Coturnix japonica: one gene and its partner. The protein of the gene in region 1 interacts with the protein of each later gene in a pairwise test. Links are inferred from orthologs where the notes say so. Each region holds a gene or a part of one and is shown in the gene's direction. Other genes may lie near its edges.

The links. The genes of interacting proteins can lie anywhere in the genome.
Region 2: the proteins of TLE1 (region 1) and FOXA2 interact in a two-hybrid assay, tested with the Homo sapiens proteins (2 studies listed by BioGRID and IntAct). The link is inferred for Coturnix japonica from reciprocal best matches to the Homo sapiens genes TLE1 and FOXA2.

The regions. Positions count from the first base shown.
Region 1 is NC_029547.1:35,436,970-35,442,419, reverse strand, and holds part of TLE1 (transducin-like enhancer protein 1), read left to right. Parts: intron 1-458; coding exon 459-512; intron 513-2,059; coding exon 2,060-2,212; intron 2,213-2,972; coding exon 2,973-3,117; intron 3,118-3,826; coding exon 3,827-4,017; intron 4,018-5,368; coding exon 5,369-5,445; intron 5,446-5,450. UniProt on the Homo sapiens protein: Transcriptional corepressor that binds to a number of transcription factors. Inhibits NF-kappa-B-regulated gene expression. Inhibits the transcriptional activation mediated by FOXA2, and by CTNNB1 and TCF family members in Wnt signaling.
Region 2 is NC_029518.1:4,399,974-4,406,104, reverse strand, and holds FOXA2 (hepatocyte nuclear factor 3-beta), read left to right. Parts: upstream 1-2,305; 5' UTR 2,306-2,795; coding exon 2,796-2,882; intron 2,883-3,484; coding exon 3,485-4,735; 3' UTR 4,736-5,465; downstream 5,466-6,131. UniProt on the Homo sapiens protein: Transcription factor that is involved in embryonic development, establishment of tissue-specific gene expression and regulation of gene expression in differentiated tissues.

The DNA.
Region 1 (5,450 bases):
CATACATATCATATAGAGTTATCAAACAGTGTTGTACTCTTTGTATCTGTTGTAATTGTTTCTGTTTCCACGGAAATAAATAGGAGGCATTGCTTTTGGAGCAACATACATATTGAAAGATAGGATTAGCACGTGAATGAGTTTCTTCTTTTATTTATCTATTTATTTATTTATTTTGGAGTAATTATAGTAGTAGAGGAGAGTTTTGGATCCTCTTGCACTTACAATGAGACCACCACCATTCAAATAGTTCTACTTTATTTAGATTTTATTACTGAAGCAAAAGTGTTACATTCCTATTTTCGGTATTTGCTGTAATGCCAATAAGTAATGAAAGTCTGTTTGTTTTTCTCTATTAAAAGCAAAAAATACTGGAGTAGATAACACCTCTTTCTTGTTCTCTCTTCCCCTTCTTAACTCTTAATGTACTAATTGAATTATTTATTTCGTTTTGATAGGACAGTGATGGGGACAAGAGTGATGATAACTTGGTTGTTGATGTATCCAATGAGGTAACTTTTTAAAAAATTATTATTGTTTTAATATTGACACAAATGCTGAAGAAAAAATGCTTTTAGATTAAAAAATGAACAGCCAAAAAACAGTGGAATATAGTAAAAATATGGAACAGTCGTCCTTTCTGTTAGTTTCGTTATTCACTATGTCTTCCTCCTAGCTTTACCTGTCTGTGCTCCTAGCTCTTCCTTCCCCTGCTTTATCTAGGTCTCTTCTCTCTGCAGTTATTTTCTAACATTTCACAGCTGTTCTGTAGGGGAGAAAATTGTGGTGAAATGCAGGTGGCTGAAGTTTGCAAACTGCTGTCTTCAAGGGAAAATGGAAAAGAATAAGTATTCTAATATTTAATAGTAGGAATGGCATTGAAACCCCCCCAAAATCACTGGTATTTTGACTGCTTACTCTGAAAGCAGTGTTTTCCATACAGGCATATTAGGATAAATTCAGTGAAAATCAGAATGAAATCAGTCTGCAGCATTTCCTAGTGGCAGTAGCCACTTTGGTTTTTGTTTGTTTGTTTTTTTCCTCCAAGACTGAGATTTGGCTGTGCAGTCAGGAACTGTCTTTTTCCATTCCTTTGTCTTTTATTTCACACAACAAAAATATGTATTCCTGACCATGCTGGAAAAATTTCTACACTGTGAAAAGCACAGGAAAAAATACTGGAGGGAATGTCTAGAGTAGCTCCAAAAGTTCAAATGATTTCATCCAGGTAGAAAAATGTGTATCCTGTTAATAATTTCAGCAGTCATTTCAGAAGTCCTGGTTAAAATGAAACTGCTCAGTGATCAGCCAGTGGACTGATTGCCTTCTAGTGTGGACTGCTTAATTCCTGCTGCTATGCTGATGAACCAGAGGACCTTGAAGAACCTACAGAGCTGATGGTAGCTTGCTGGGCAGCCTGTTTTTGAATAGACTAAATGCAGAAAGTGCCTCTGTAAGACAGAGGGAAAATCACTTGAGAGATCATTGCAGTTTTTATGTAGATTTAAGTAGTGAAGTAATGCAATTTAGGATAAACTCTATAGATATAATTTATATACTTTTATGTAAAATCTGCATCTCTCTTGTTTTCTGAAGAAAGAGATGAGCAAGGTGTGTATTCCCTAAAAAATGAAATTAAATGAATGTATTCCTATTGAAATGATCATTTTCACTAGCAGCACATAAAGAACACATGCAGAAGGAGTACCAGCTCATTGCAATTATTGTAGGTCTTTTCATATCAGTTGTAATGTATGCCTGTGATCTGTGTAAACCTAAGTACAAACTAAGGCAAGTTCTGCACTTGGAATCAATTTATGATATGTGTTTATGGTTTATGTAGTGTAGAATGAGTCCAGATTGCACTTACTTATGTCTATAATTGATGAAAGGAATTAAGGGCTTTTTTTGTTTGTTTCTGTAGATATGGAAAGCAAACTACTGCTTCATTCTGATATACTGTTTGAGTTCTTGGGTTTTTTTTTCCCAGACTGATTTAGTTTGTGTTGAGTACCAGCTCTTAACGGTTCTTTGCTGCTTGTCCTTTCCATTCTTTTAGGATCCTTCATCTCCACGGGCAAGTCCTACTCATTCACCACGTGAAAATGGTATAGATAAAAGCCGCTTGCTGAAGAAAGATGCTTCTAGCAGTCCAGCATCTACAGCCTCTTCAGGAAGTTCCACTTCTCTCAAATCCAAAGAAATGAGTTTGGTGAGTATTATAAGCAGCCTGTTCTCTAGGAAATGTTCTTTTTCCTTCAAGGTCTAACTCTCCATTCTTCAGCAACTGCTTTTTTACAGAAAGTGTACGGGTTGAAGAATCTGAAGTACTGTTCTTCTACACCACTCCAGTACCATTGAGCTTTTTTCCTCAGGAATAATTTCTTCTTCAGGATGATTTCCTGTATCTCCCGCATTTCTATCAAATAAGCTGTGAATTTATTAGAAAACATAAGATTAACTTAAAAACATTATTGTTTTTTAATAGATCTGAATGTAGTCACCAAGATGTTCGCCAGGCTTTTATTAAATTCTTCTAAATGAACTGCTGCTGATAAATTTTTCAAGGAATAACTAACTTGATAAGATTTTATGTCACTGTATTTTGATTCTTTGATTCACGGTGTCCAGTAATCATGATTTCTCACTAAAATAAAGTGGTGATGCATACTGTGCTGTCCTGAAAAAAAATAAAATCTCTCTCTTTTTTTTTTTTTTTTTTGTCAGTGGAAGAAAGAAATAACGTGTCTTAGCTTTCTTTTTTTTTTTTGTTCATCCCTATTTCTGGCAGAAATCAAAAGGTCAGCATTTTTTTTCTTCGCAAGTTAATGTTGTCAGCATTGCATGGATTTATGAAAATTGGCTGAGGGACTAGGTAGTAGGTGCCCAGCATCCCAGCTGCTGTTGTGATAAATTGCGTAATATGGCTTGGATTAAAAATAATACTAATTTATTTTGTTTTATGATACTAGCATGAAAAAGCCAGCACGCCTGTTCTGAAATCTAGCACACCGACTCCTCGAAGTGATGTGCCAACTCCAGGCACTAGTGCAACTCCAGGACTTCGTCCAGGCCTTGGCAAGCCTCCAACAATGGACCCTCTGGTTAACCAGGCTGGTAATGCATTACCTCTCAAGTTTTTATGATTCTAAGATTAGTATCTTATTTAAATATGCATTTCCATGCAAATGTTAACCAAGAGCTTTTTTCTTGATGCGAAGAGAGGACCTGATGAAATGCAGATGTCTGGATTATCAAGAGTTTGAATGTCTTTCTATCTTTCGTTATTCTTTGTTTACTTTGTTCTTTATCTTTTTGGAAATAGTCTGGAGACTGCATGTAGTGAAAGATTTCTGAGAAGCTTCTAGTACTTAGTCTGAATGCAATTGCTTTTCCAGCTCTTTGTTTGAATCTACTAATATTTGCTGCAGTGTAAATCTTGACAAATGCAGAGGGAAGTTTACTTTTGCTATTCAGGCTGGTACAGCAGAGTTCCTTCAGACATGAGCTATGTAAACCATGTCTGTCAGCTTTAGTGCTTAATTTGGCAAAGGAGAGATTAATGTAAACAGGGAAATATTACAGAAATGGAAATGGGCAATGCTAGAAGAGGTTGTTAGAAGTAATCACTGAATTCAGATCTCAGTAAAGCTTATTTACAGTGATTGAAAAGAGGTGGTACTAGTGATAAATTATGGGAATGTTTCTTAGCTCTGTGTGTGCATGTTTGTAAGGGGAAGGTTATGTACTATAAGCTGAAATAAAAGGTCTTTTGCCCTGTGTGCAGGGAGATCCAATAAAACTACTTGCTTTCATTGTTCCACAGCTGCAGGTTTGCGCACACCTTTGGCTGTACAAGGGCCATACCCTGCTCCATTTGGAATGGTGCCTCATGCTGGCATGAATGGAGAACTAACCAGTCCAGGGGCAGCATACGCCAGCCTGCACAACATGTCACCCCAGATGAGTGCGGCTGCCGCAGCAGCTGCCGTGGTTGCCTATGGAAGATCTCCTATGGTAGGCCACATATTGCATGCAATCTCAGTTGTGTGAGTTGCAGGTCACTAAAGAAAGCTACATGCTTCATTTAGCACAGTTGAATTCCCAAGTTATAACAGCGCCAGAGGCTTGGCTGCTTCACTGTGTGTTTCACTTTACTTTGTGGATGGAGAAACAAATTTCTACCTTGAGAACAAAGAATCTCAGTGTACTGGTGTATGTTTCTTTTTTTCTCATCAGTGCTTTGTCTAATTAATAAATGCCAAACTGTTTTCTTATTCTTTAAATGAAAAAAACAGTTTCAATAGATACAAATGTCTTCACTGGTGCTGTGAACATCTGCTTTTCTTTTGCTGTACAAGATTTGTGATCTGTACAGACACACCAAATTAATTTCAAAGTGTGTAAAAGTCTTTTTTTTAATCTACTTCTCTCTCCTTGTATTGTGTTCTTTTTGAGTAAATTATCATGAAGAATCTTAAAGCTCTGTGATAAGGTGTGTTACAAGTAGTTGCTGTTGTGGATGTAGTCACTAAATGCAGCATAGCTGTCATTGCTGCTATTGATCAGAACAACCTGGGAGCCTGATCCCACAAATATGTGCACAGACCTATCCACTTGTGAGTTTGCAAGATTGGTCTTAAGCTTGTTATGTTCTGTAGATGGGACTACTTTCTTAAACTGGAAAAATTGTTACATGAAAATGTGGAAATCCTGAACTGCATATGCACTTCTTAAAGTAAGAATTTTCTCTTGAGTATAGCATTCAAATGGAAGAAGCGTGTTTGGTTCAGAGTTTCTCTCTGGTTTATTTGGTCTTCATATTCATTCTGGACGTAACAGTTTAGTGGAATTGCAGCATATAAAAAGAGCCTGTGAAGTAGTGTTTTTAAGCCGTAGACAAATCTGTGAGTACCCTGCAGTGTAACTCTCTCAGACATCTCCTAGCTGATGTACCCATACAGCACAAAGCCAGCAGAGCTACTGGTGGGAGCCTGAAGCTGCTTCTGAGCCATGCACTGTGACTGCATAGGTCAGTGATTGCTGCCAGCAGATACAGAGTGTGGCTGCATGCAGCTTGTGGACTCTTCAGCTCCAGGGCATGCTTCACGCTAACATGCCTGTCTGTGTATGTGATGCTTAGTGTTGTGAATATGGGTACTTCATAGGTTCATGGTTTTCTCTTGGAATATAAGTACTTCTAGCAGAAGCATGTTGGGAGAGAACGTCTTGTTTTGTCCATCCCTACTCACTTAGCTATTACTGTAGGTAAAAGGTGGGTTTTGGTTAAATGTGTATCTTGGGGAGAAGTAGTGTTCACTGAATGAGAAATTTCAAGTGTGATTTTTAACTTGTTTTCCATTGTCAGGTTGGGTTCGATCCTCCTCCTCACATGAGAGTACCTGGAATCCCACCAAATATTGCAGGGATTCCTGGGGGAAAGCCGTAAG
Region 2 (6,131 bases), on another chromosome or scaffold:
CCTGGGCACTGCAGGGGGTTGGAATGGATGGCCTTCAACAATCCCTTCCAACTCAGATAGTTCTGTGACTTTCTGTCCCTCTCCATAGGGACCCCATGAGCAGCCCCTGCTCACATCCAGCCCTACAGTGCTGATCATGGGAACAGAAATATGGCACTAACAGTGACCCCAAGGTCTGTTCTGCCTGCCTGAGTGTGAGCTACTTGAGATGCCCTCAGCCCCACAGAGTCCTTTGGTTACTTCCAGGGATCTCATGGGGGAAAATGCCACCATCCACAGACGTGATGTGAGCTCCTTCTCCATCCTGTTATTAAAATGCTTCTGTGGGCATTGAGTGCTCCTGTCTTGCAGTTCCTCAGCTACAGGGGAAAAAACAACGGACGCATTTAGTTTGAAACAACAGGGCAATTGGGAGAGTTCATTATATTGGATTAATTATGATAATTATCAGTAGAAGAGAGATAATTACTCTGTTTGTTGTCAAGAATAAGGTACAGTTGTAATAGGGAGAGGTGAAAGGGGGGTGATTTTTTATTCTCCTTTGCAGATAAATGCCTTCACCCAGCAAGAAGAGCAGGAGATGTGCTTGTCACCAGCAGTGGAGGTGGCCCAGAATGGTGGCAGATACTGCCCATGGTGGCCCAGCCACTGTCTCTTGCCTCCAGGAAGGGAACACCAGCTCTTCCAGGCATGGCTCCCAATGCAAATAGAAACGTAATTTAAAAATTAAATTTAAAATAAATATTACTTAAATATTAAAGAGAAGAAGTCATTTTTTAAATGGCCGCCGCATTTCTCTGGAGCCCAAGTGGGTCTGTTTAAACAAGAAGAGGCTGAACATTTTCAATTTCGATCATCTGGGGTATTTAAAAAGATGTTTCTCTACAAGGCAAGACTATCTTCTTCACTGCTTCCTTCCCTCTTCTCTTAAGGTGTTGATTTTATTGGGCTGCCCAAGGGTAGCGGCATCACAGTTTGACTAGTGAAATAAGGGATGGGATGTGGAAGACCCCACGGGATGCCAACGGGGCTCACATTTAGGACCACACGGTGCTGGTACAGCGGGAAGACTCGGCCTTACCCATCACATATGATCGCTGGTGATGCTCCCAAGTGATGCACTGGAGGGTGACCTCCGCCGTCGGGGGGACCCCCGGGTACAGGCGGGGGACAGGCGGGGTGCCCCTCCACCCCCGGCCCTCCGGTACCGGGGACAGCAGGCGACAGGGGGCGCCGCGCCACCGCTCTTAGACCTCGGGACAGCCCTGCCCGGCCTCCCACCCCTCCACCCCACCCCCCCTTTTTTGGGGGCAAATCCCCCTTTTCCCGGCGCGTCCCCGCCCTGAGGGCAGCTCCCCTGGGGTCTCTCCCTTCTCCTCCAGCCAGCCCTCATCTCCCCTAAATATGGGCGGGAGGAGGCGGGCTGCTTCTATCCCCGCAGCTATCGCGATAGGAGCCAGTTTCGTTTGGAGACGGCTCCCGAAGGCGTTGGGGCGAAGGGAAAAGCCCTCCGGCGAAGCCCCCCGGCTGTTGGGTTTGTGTTAATGTTTAAAAGCTCCCGTTAACCTCGCCAAGCTGTGCTGGGGTTAATGCCGGGAGAGAACCCAAATAAATAACCGAGGGAAAAGGTCGGTGCCGCGCCGCCCCGCCTGGCGCCCGGGCAGGTAGGTACAGGGCGCACGGCACGGGGAGGGCGGCAGCTCCGTGTCCCCCACTGGGCGGGGGGGGAGGCAACACTGCGGGGCCGGGAGGTGTCGGACACCCCAGGGGGCTGCGCTTCCTCCCTGGAAGGAGGGAAGGAGAGAAGGAAGGAGGGAGGGACGGAGGCAGCCGCTCCCCGACGGCTACACTCGAGCAGCGTCCGTGGATCCGTCCGTGGGTGCGGAGCGACGCTTCCCCGACGGCGCCCATCGGGCCCCGCTCTGGCTGCGTGTTCCCCGACGGCGCTGAGCCCGGCCCCGCCGCGCTCCCCTCTCCCAGCTCCCGCCTTCCCCTGCCCTTCCTGTTTGTTTTAGTTACGAAATTGTTGTAGGTACCTGAGGCAGAGCCGCGGGAAGGCATGAGGCAGAGCCGGGCCACGGCCGGGAGGAAGGTGGCCTGAGGCTGAGCAGCCGCGGGGAGAAAGGTGAGTGTGGCTCGGGGGGCTGCGGCCGTCGGAGGGGGATCGGGGCACCGCTCTGTTTGGGCTTTGCGAGGGGACACCTTCCATCGGAGTGCGGCTGGAATGGGGGTCCCGTAGGAGCCCTCCTGTTGAGGGGGGGTGCGGGGGGAGACGCGGGGTGGTTCCGGGAGTCGCTCCGGGGTGCGGGTCGGGAGCCGCGGAGCAGCCGCTCCCGCCTAGGTGTGAGCTGATTATTCAAATGGGCAGCCGAGGACCTGGGGATTGGAGGCTCGCCTGGCCGCTCCGTGCTATATCACTCGGGCACCCACGTCACTGCAGCACTTGTACTCCTCTTCCTCCCTCCTCCTCTTCTTCCTCCCTCCTCCCTCCTCCCTCCTCCTCCTCCTCCTCCTCCTCCTCCTCCTCCGGCTCCTCCATCGCCTCCGGGCGACTCTTCACCGCGAAGCTCTGCGGAAACCCACCCAAGGAGCGGCGGCGAAAAAAAACCCCGGCCCCGGCGGTGCCCCCTCCCTTCCTCCCTCCCTCCTCTTCCTCCTCCTCCAGCGGCTCCGACGGAGGGAGCGCGGCAGAGGGGAGGGAGGGCTGGCGATTTTTTTTTTTTTTTGGGGGGGGGGATTGCTCTCTCTCTCTCTCTGCGTCGTCGTTTGTTGTGTCTGTTAAATTTTAAACTGCCATGCACTCCACTTCCAGTATGCTGGGAGCGGTGAAAATGGAAGGCCATGAGCACACGGACTGGAGCAACTACTACGGGGAGCCCGAGGTAAGGGGGTGGGGGGGGTGTTGGAAGCCGGGCGGCCCGATCCCCGCGCCGGGATACTGGGGGGAAACCTCAACTTTGTCGCTAAATATTCTCGAGGCGCTGAACTGCGGCTGGGGGACAGCGGGGGCGACGGGGGCAGCGGGGCCGCCCCCCCCAGCCCCCGGGAGAGAGCGGGGCTGCCGGGCAGCGAGTCGCGTTTTTTCCTTTCCCCCTACCCTCCCCCCCACCCCCCACCCGAGGTATTTTTCTCTCTTTGCTCGGGATTGTCTCTTTTCCTCCAGCTTGGATCCTCTGAGCTCGGTGAGATCCCGACTTTTTCAATATCTAAATTTGGGCTTTTTTCTTTCTTTCTTTTCTTTCTTTCGGTTTTTTTTTCTTTTTTTTTTTTTTCTTTTTTCTTTCTTTTTTTTTTTTTTTCCGTTAATGAGCGATTCAACACCCCCCATCTCCCGCCGATGCCCCCCGGGGGTTTAACCCTTCCCACCCCGCAGCTCCAGAGCTTCAGGAACTCCCTTGGGCTGGGCTGGGGGTGCCTTACTTGGGAACTGCTTTCATTTCCAATCCCCCCAAATCTCCCTTATCTTTCTCGTTTGTCTATGCAGAGCTACTCCTCGGTGAGCAACATGAACTCGGGGCTGGGCTCCATGAACACCATGAACACCTACATGACCATGTCGGCCATGAGCACCACAGCCAACATGACAGCAGCCACCTCCATGAACATGTCCTACGCCAACACGGGCATGAGCCCTTCACTCGCCGGCATGTCCCCAGGTGCGGGGGCCATGGCCGGCATGGGCTCGGCTGGCGTGGCAGGGATGGGTGCCCACCTGAGCCCCAGCATGAGCCCCATGGGAGGCCAAGCGGGCTCTATGAACGCCCTGGCCCCTTACACCAACATGAATTCTATGAGCCCCATCTATGGGCAATCCAACCTCAACCGCTCGCGGGACCCCAAGACGTACCGGCGGAGCTACACTCACGCCAAGCCCCCTTACTCCTACATCTCGCTCATCACCATGGCCATCCAGCAGTCACCCAACAAGATGCTGACCCTGAGCGAGATCTACCAGTGGATCATGGACCTCTTCCCCTTCTACCGCCAGAACCAACAGCGCTGGCAGAACAGCATCCGCCACTCACTTTCCTTCAACGACTGCTTCCTCAAGGTGCCCCGCTCCCCAGATAAGCCAGGCAAAGGCTCCTTCTGGACGCTGCACCCCGACTCGGGCAACATGTTTGAAAACGGCTGCTACCTGCGGCGCCAGAAACGCTTCAAGTGTGAGAAGCAGCTGGCGACCAAGGACGGCGGTGGGGGCAAGAAGGGGCCGGGGCAGCCCCCCAGCCAACCCCTAGGGGAGGGCAGCTCCTCGGGGGGCTCCGAGGGCTCAGCGGGTGCTGAGTCACCAGCGAGCGCCTCACCGTGCCGGGACCACAAGCGCGCCCTGGCCGAGCTGAAGGGTGCGGCGGCAGGGCCGAGCCCCGGGGAGCCATCAGCGGCCTCTCCAGCACAGCACCTGCTGGCCCCGCCACACGCCGGGCTTCCTCATGACGCCCACCTCAAGCCCGAGCACCACTACGCCTTCAACCACCCGTTCTCCATCAACAACCTGATGTCGTCCTCCGAGCAGCAGCACCACCACCACCCTCACCACCACCACCACCCCTCGCACAAAATGGACCTCAAGGCCTACGAGCAGGTGATGCACTACTCGGGCTACGCCTCACCCGTGCCCGCCAGCCTGGCCATGGGGCCGGTAACGAACAAAAACCCATTGGAGTCCTCCCCTTTGGCCGGAGAGACTTCTTACTACCAAGGTGTGTATTCCCGGCCCATCATGAACTCCTCCTAAAGGCAAAGGGGGAAAAACCCCCTCACCCCGCGCGATCCCCCTAGCAGCGCGATGGACTGTGAGCGCTGCTGAGCACGGTACCTACCCATATAGCTATCTATCTACTTTTGTTTTGTTCCTTGCTGGCTCCAGGTGGTTGCATCCACTTGGGGAGCAGTGGGCGCACCTCGCGTGCCACCCCTAACCCTAACCCTGCAGTCCCCTCGGTTTGCCTTGCGGGGTGGTTCGGTTTGGTGGGAGGGGGGTGTAAGGGAGAGGGGTTTTTCCTCTTGGGGCTGGTTTCTTATTTTTTTCGTTGTCGTCGTTGCAAGGAGGTGGAAATATATCTATTTTTTTGGTGTGGAAGTGATGAGGAAAAGGGGAGGAAAAAGAAATAACCAAACCCCAAGCAGACAAAAACGGACGCAAAGAAAATGAAGCCCTCGTTCGGTGGGAAACCCAATACGAGTTTGGGATCTGAGGATGGGAAGCCTTGTAAAATTGTACAAAGGGGAAGGGGAAAAAAAAAAAAAAAAGAAAGAAAAAAAGGAAAAAAAAAATACAACAAACCAAGTCAGGATAGATTGTTGTAATTGAAACAAACGCTTGATGTTACCGGGAGAGTAAACTACTTGGATCTGATTAATTTATCGTTTCTGTATGCTTTATTTATGGCTTATAAATGTGTATACTGGTAGCGACTAGCCAGGTTGCCACAGAACTCTATTAAAGTGTTATTGGCGGTTTTTTTCCCCCTGCATCTCTGTTCTGCCGGGATTCGCCCTCCTCTCCCCGGCCGTGCGGCCCCGACGGTGCGGCCGTGCCTCTCCCGGCCCCTTTTCTGCCCTCGGAAGGACTGGCCGAAGCGCACCCAGCTCGGGGGGGGGGGACTCGGGGGGGGGTCAACGATGAAAAGCCGTCCCGGGAGGGGTGTACGCTTTGAGATTAAACCATGGGCAGCGGGATGCGCGGCCGCGCTTGCTCTGCCGTCGGGGACCAAAGCGCACGTCTGGGGCCGCTAAAAGAGAGTAGTCTGAACGGTGTTAACGATGAGGGTCGGGAGGACGGCCCTGCCGGGAGCGGTACGTCCAAAGAAGCGCTGCTTCTTTCTGCCCTAAAGCCCTCCCGTCCGCTCGCAGCCCCACCGCCCGGGCAGCGGCACCTATCCGAGAGCGGTGCTGTCATTTCTTCCCCTCTTTCCGTGCCCGTTTTCACAACCACTTGTTGTTTTTCCCACGCATTTACAGCCGTCGGAGATGTTACTTTCCTAAATAACATTCAAATCCTTCTTAAAATTCCGCTTTGTCCACGGGTAGAGAAAAGGGAACAGGGAAAGGGGGAGGTGAACGAGGGAAAAAAAAAAAAAGAAAGAAAAAACAATGAAAAAAAAAACCCTCCCAAAAACAAACCGGGGATC